Linked DNA regions of Saccharomyces cerevisiae S288C. Changing the gene in region 1 together with any one later gene gives a genetic interaction. Each region holds a gene or a part of one and is shown on either strand. Other genes may lie near its edges. The genes, in order: ASI1 and YPR096C.

Region 1 (4,527 bases):
TCCATTATGAGGACTCTTATATCTTCGAGAGGAACTTCTATTATATTCTGTATACACAACATTATAGCCTTTGATCAACAATGGAGTTCACAATTATCAAAATATTCGCACAATATTCACGTAGAATAGTGGATGACAGAGTATATAAACAAAGAAAGAAGCACTCAGGATTTTCTATAAATAGTGAAGTTTTCTATGGACGCCAAAAAATCTTAAGGGTATCTTGAGTGTAATCATCATTGGAAGGATTATTATCTTTCACGAGTAAAATACTATTAATAACTAGTAATTTCCGTGAAGTCATTAAAATGAACAAAACGATAAAACGGTTTCTTATTGCTAATGTGCTGATTTTTTGCCAAAAGGTAAAATCTAAAAATATCAATTGCATACCTTCACATTTGGTATATTACCATATAATAGCAAGATGACATAAATCGGTGAGGAGCAGTTACCAAATTCCATGGAAGATGAAAAACAGGGTTGATAATATAATAAACTGTTGGAACGAGAGTAATTAATAGTGACATGAGTTGCTATGGTAACAATCTAATGCTTACATCGTATATTAATGTACAACTCGTATACGTTTAAGTGTGATTGCGCCTATTGCAGAAGGAATGTTAAACGAGAAGCTCAGACAATACTGAAGCTGTGTTAAAGACCTATTAGTTGAACATGTTATGGTAGGTACATATATGAGGAATATGAGTCGTCACATCAATGTATAGTAACTACCGGAATCACTATTATATTGGTCATAATTAATATGACCAATCGGCGTGTGTTTTATATACCTCTCTTATTTAGTATAAGAAGATCAGTACTCACTTCTTCATTAATACTAATTTTTAACCTCTAATTATCAACATAAACAATGGAAGAAAAATAATAATATTACCAAGCAAAATTATTGTCCTTGTGGATTTCGATATTTTCAACAGGTACCTTAGTAGAGCTGAAGTTTTTTCAAATTAAACATTTATGTGGTAGTCATATATATGTGTCATGCGAGTCTTTACATTAAATATATGGTAACCACCAGAGAACTTGTTATATTAGTCACGATTAATAATGTTGGAATAAAAATCCACTACCGTCTATCAACTAGTAGTTATATTATCAATATATTATCATAGACGGTGTTAGATGATGATATAAATTATGAGAAGCTGTCATCAAAGTTAGAAGAAGCTGAAATGCAAAGATTGATAATATGATAGGATAATGAAACATATAAAATAGAAAGAGGGATAATCGTAATATTAGTATGTAAAAATATACATTCCATTTTGAGGATTCCTATGTCCTCGTGGAGAACTTTTAGTATATTCTGTTTACCTAATATTATAATCTTTTATCAACAATGGAATCCCAACAATTATCTCAAAATTCACCTATATCTCAAATAATAAACCGATCGGACTGCGTTCAGTGAACCTCTCTTATATAGTATAGGAAGATCCAAATTTATTATTCGCTGATATGACCTTTTGACCTTTACATATTAACGAGGTGCTTTTACCAATGCATAGACGAGCAGCTTATCCCATAATGAGTTTAAATTCTATTCAACTCATAACAACTTATAGTTGCTATAGTCACACCTTTTCAACAGATAAGTGGTTGTTTGGCCGAGCGGTCTAAGGCGCCTGATTCAAGAAATATCTTGACCGCAGTTAACTGTGGGAATACTCAGGTATCGTAAGATGCAAGAGTTCGAATCTCTTAGCAACCATTATTTTTTTCTCGCGTATTCCTTTGAGGGCGCCCCTTTATGTTGAAATATTGAGAAGCTACGAATCAAACTTTGAAGTCAGTTGAGTAAGCAATATGAAAAACATTGGAAAATACAATAAAACACAATTACGAAAACTATATTGTTTTGAACAGAAAAATAGAAGGAAGTACTAAAATTACTCTTTCACCACACAACAATTTTAACTCAAGAAGATAATCACTGCTTACTTTTATATTTTATAGACAATTTGCACTTTGGGGTATTTTTCTTAATTTTATCTGGGTTTTTTTCTTCTTTTTACAAAGAAACTATGCTAAGAATATGAACTCTTCCACTTCTTCAGAAAATGTGTTCATAAATTCATTTAGCTATTTGAATCAAACATCACAAGCCGTAATCTCAGGTAACTCCACTTTCGCAAATGTTATCAACTTTCCTTATAGACTTGGATTATCCTTTATTGGGGCTGTGAACTTGCAGTACGAGCAAACCGTTAAATCTGAAGAAATTCCCCCAACTCTAAGGTCTGTTTTTGATACAATAGGGTTTTTTTTCAGCCCGTACGCCATATTTTGCTTTGTAATCGCCATTGTCCTGAACCGGTTCGTTGTATTTTACGCCGTCCTTAACAACGGTTCCAGACGTACTTTACCGTTATGGTTGAGTAATGTTTTCCATGTATCAGCAGTAGTTGTATTAGCAATGGTATCCTTAGGTCCGCTGACCTTGGGTAAGGATTTCAAAATATTAGGCGACCCTGCTTTTGCCCAAGAAAAATTTTTACTGAATATATTCTACGCTTTCGCTTACTCTTATTGTGTCGAAACCATATTTACCATCATGCGGAATTCCAGCCCTTTGGAGGGCACTGACTATTCATTGTTTGAACTTTCGATTCAGTTTTATACAATGACTAATAATAATACTAAATTTTTAGATTCTCCTGATTACATTATAGACTGTTCTATGGCTATTTTGAGCAGGATATTGATCCATTTGGTGGAGATTTTCAGGCTTAGAAATTATCGTCTACTTTTTAGTACTATTATGAACCTCTGTCATATTTGTTACTTAGGGATAAGAGTTAAGCAGGGCGGCTGGAAAAGCCTTCCATTTTCGGTGAAATTTAGGCACTTTCCAAAACTGTTTTCAGTGTCTATTATTTGCTTATCATTACTGATTTTTAAATTATCATGCTTAATTAGATGGGATCCATTTGGAAAATCACGTAATTCTTGCGAACTTTTACAGTTTTACCCTCTCAGTAGAAATTGGAAAAAATACTTAAATTACACGGGAGAAGAAGATTTTTCTGCTATGGCCACTAAATTCGCACTATTATTATGCTCAGGAACTGAACTAATGGAAAAGGGTATACGAAGAGAATTTCCTGCTATTAACATCCCGGATAATGTTAATGAGAAATTTTTTATTAGCGGTTATTTAAATGAACTTTCTAAACCGTATAAAGAGAACACTTCCATCAGCTTCCCAAAGAAAAATTCATCAATATTAAAGCAAAGATTTTTTTTAATGTTTCCAAAATCTATAATATGGATCATGAAGAAGCTTGTAGGCCAAGTATTCTTTGGCTTCAGAGATAACAAGGACGAGGACATCCCCGACAACGACCCATCAAAAATGTTAAAGATAACTAAAACGAACTCTCTCAATAATAGTGCCGGCCACAAAGAAGATATTGAACTTGAACTATTGAACACATCAGATGATGAGTATTCTGAAGATTACGAGCCTTCTGAAGTTGAGTCACTGGGGGATTCTGATGAAGAAAACTTGGAAGAAGATTCACTGATTTTCAACGAAACTCGGGATGCCCTACTGGATTTATTTTCTTCCGAAGATAATGAAGTTCATACTGATTATAATTGGATCATGTCAACTAGCCGTATCCTTCAACAAAAATTACTGTCAGATAAAACTTTGACAAGGGCGTCTATCTTAGATACAAAGTTAAGTGAAGTAGATGAGACTTTTGGTACAGAAAGTGATTTTGATCTATCTTGCGCGGTATGCAAAGTCAATGAAAGAAATACAGTATTATGGCCCTGCCGATGTTTTGCCATTTGCGAGGATTGCAGAATTTCTTTGGGTTTACGTGGGTTCAGCACTTGCGTATGTTGTAGGAGTAAAGTTCATGGGTACTGTAAGGTTCATCCTGTTTCAGATAGTAAATAATAGTTTAAGAACTTTTGCATGGTATCTAAAAGAGGTTTTTCGTTTGGGAGCTCTAGCATTAATTACTATAGCTAGAGCTTTCTGTGTTGCACATATAAACATCATAATAATAAATCAAGTTTTTTTTCTTTGGGAAATGTTCGAATTAAAATTGTACTTATAACATATCGTATCATTAGTATATATATAAAAGTGTCAGTGGCGATTATATCATTAGAGGAGGAAAGAATAAACTATACATCGATTTGCCGTCATTTCTGTATTTATGGCATATTGACTCTGAACTCATGCCATCTAATGGTGGAACAAACGGATTGGGTTCTCTACGTAAACCAAATCGAATGAATCGGCAGCTGAAAATACAACCTTGTCCATGACAGAACCAGATGGAGCGGCAATGTATTTGACACCGGATTTAACTGCTCTGTAAACATTGTCTGGGAATGGGAAAAATGCATCCGATGACAAAGAAACGTTGGTTAATTTACTCAACCATTCCTTTCTTTCTTCTGGAGTAAATGGTTTTGGAATCTCCTCGAACTTCGATTGGTATTCAGACAATTCTGGTTCTTCTGTTGGAATTTGGCCGG
Region 2 (2,700 bases), on another chromosome or scaffold:
TATCTTGAAGCCGCTGTAGAGGAACCGACGGAAGAAGATGTCGATATCCTACTCACAGTAGGAAGAGTAGGAACTAATCTATCACCGTTAAACAGGGTAGGCTCTTGTGATTTTCTGTAATCTCTTGACAATCTATTAGAAGAAGGAAATTTTTCTAGAGCAGGTTTCACAGGAATGAATGGGGCGTGTTTTGAATTTCTCTTTACGTTATCAGACCCGGAGCTAGTAAGCGTGACTCTCTCACCATCGGGCTTGGGAACTTTCTCTATCGAATCTATGTTGTTTTCTGATTTGAAAGGCATTTCTTCAGGATCTTGTCCATTACGGAGGTGTTGTGCAACCAAGATTTCATCATCTTCAGAACCCTTTTCATTGGCTGACCTGAAATTCAAGTCTAACCTACCCATCTTACGCCGTATCCTGCTTAGTTTGCTGTGTTTTTTTGTGGGCTCGCATTCTTTTACATCAAGTTTATCGTCGTCATTATTAGTGTGTTCCTGTATTTCTGCGAGTTGAAGAAAAGGACTTCTATAACTTTCCGACTCTCTTAATTTATCTATGCCTGTTGAAACATTGCTTCCGCCCTTTTTGTTGCCATTTTTATCGTTACTGTGTGATTGAAGGAATTTAAGCTTAATCAACGAAGAAATAGACTGATTCATTATCTGGCAAGTGTGGATTGAAGAGCTGGTCTGGCGGGAAGTTAGCGAAAATGAAGTTACAATGAGTTGAAACAGAGTAAATAATAGGGAGTGGATGCGAGTAACCTTGCGATGTCAAAAGAATTCAAAGTACTATATCTACTGCCTTTCTTTCCACTTGGTGCCTTTTACCCTGAAAGTCTAATGAGCAGGTAGTATAAGAGAAGCAGCTTCTGAAGAAGAGTTCTTTGTACAATAAACCGGCCTTGTGGTGCGAGAGAGGCTTGTAATATAGATTATACTGAAGCCTGTTGAACTTAGCGTCTATTTTCTTTTCGTTCCCTATATCACTTTTCCTAATATTTTCAACATCTCCTTTACGCCAAAAACAAGAAAAAGGACGAGATGGCCTTGGGTTTTTAATGCTTACGCCTGTTTCGCCTCTCATAAGACAGATAAATGTACGTTAACCATTTGACAGTTAACTTTTTAGGCGTGAACAAGGAACGTATTAAAGTGTTTTTCGAATAATTGATCACTTTCTAGCTTTCATTCTTTTTTAAGAGCTACATCCAATTACTGTGCATTGGGCTCTATAAAAAAAGAAAAACGAACCTTACCTTGTGGTCGGAATTGTGTACTGAAATCAGTGGTTGAAGATAATTGTACTAAAGAATCAAAAATAGACAGTCTTCAAATGATTACTCAAGACACTCCTGCTTTAAATCCAACGGAAGAACACTACCTGAAGAGGGAACTGCTTCGATGTCAATTGGATTATGAAATTGGAAAGCTTAACGATCAGTTTGCTTTGAGAAAGTTCGGTTATCCTTTCTCACCAAACGATCCGACAGCTCCACAGCCTATCTCCAATAACGATTCATCACCAGTGCTCGGTGGCAAAGGCCATTTTAGCGTTAATTATCCCATGCTGAGTTATGTTTTGCAAGAATTTATATCCACATTTCCTTTACTTTCAACAAATTTGCTAGTTGATGAAAAATTCTGGCAGAGTAAGGTTCAAGTGTTCTTTGAACATTTCATGAGTCTTGGGTTTAGTGAAAGTTATGACAGGGAGGAAGCTTCAAAAAGGAAGAAAGTTTCCAAAAAGCTATCAAAGGTTATCTTGTTGCTCTTTAACTCCGGTGTTGGCTCTTTTCAAGAGCAAGCGTATTATAATGAGGATAAATTCGTTTTACAGTCAGGCCAAGCGAGAAAACGCTCTAATATTGAGAAATTTGCAATGCCAACTAGAGAAAATTTAGAGAATTTGCTCACTAACGAATCCGTTTTTATTAACGGTTGGGACGTCAATATTATATCCGTGTTCAATAAGAATTCACGGAAATGTACTGAAAGTGTGGATAATGACAAGTCTAGTAAATCTACTCCAACTTCGAGTCCCAAAAGCCATGCTATAAAATCATTTGCTTCCACTTCTAAATGGATGAAGAATGCCTTCAACAACACTATTAACAGTACCATAAATAGTATGCCCGAATCCTCAGCATCTTTATTTTCGAAATTATCCCTTGGCGTGCCTTCAACTAAGAGCAAGCAATCTAGAAAACATCATTATTTCTTGATTAAGATTAAGAAGCAAGATGACGACGACCAAGATAACAGCAATGAAGAGAATAGTAATCTTGATCACCATGCTGGTTATTTCTATGTGACAAGAACATACAGCGACTTCAAAAAACTATCTCATGATTTAAAATCAGAATTTCCGGGGAAGAAATGTCCGCGCTTACCTCATAGAAATAAAAAAGTGACGTCTATGATAACTAAAACCGAAGTGTTACACAATGGGCAAACTAAATCAGCAGCCAGGGAAAAAATCGTCAACACTTTTGACACTGATTTACAATCTGCATCAGAGTCTGATAATTCTTCATTTTTACAGACAACGAATGAATTATCTGCTACAGAAACAGTACTCACAGAAAAAGAAACTGAAACGTTGAGAAAAAATATTCTAAATGAGATCAAGGAAGAAGATAATATTGATGAGGACGAGTATGAGGAAGAAGGTGAAGGTGAAGAAAGTGATTTTGAT

What was found.
Region 2: mutations in ASI1 (region 1) and YPR096C together harm fitness more than expected from each alone (negative genetic interaction), as found in Saccharomyces cerevisiae (2 studies listed by BioGRID).

Annotation. Positions count from the first base shown.
Region 1 is NC_001145.3:503,271-507,797, forward strand, and holds ASI1 (putative ubiquitin-protein ligase ASI1), read left to right. Parts: upstream 1-2,062; coding exon 2,063-3,937; downstream 3,938-4,527. Other genes in the region: bifunctional phosphoribosylaminoimidazolecarboxamide formyltransferase/IMP cyclohydrolase ADE17, read right to left, coding at 4,232-4,527. UniProt on the Saccharomyces cerevisiae protein: E3 ubiquitin-protein ligase which transfers ubiquitin to substrates promoting their degradation.
Region 2 is NC_001148.4:724,056-726,755, forward strand, and holds YPR096C (uncharacterized protein), read right to left. Parts: upstream 1,090-2,700; coding exon 787-1,089; downstream 1-786. Other genes in the region: Arf family guanine nucleotide exchange factor SYT1, read right to left, coding at 1-662; LEC1 (Lec1p), read left to right, coding at 1,339-2,700.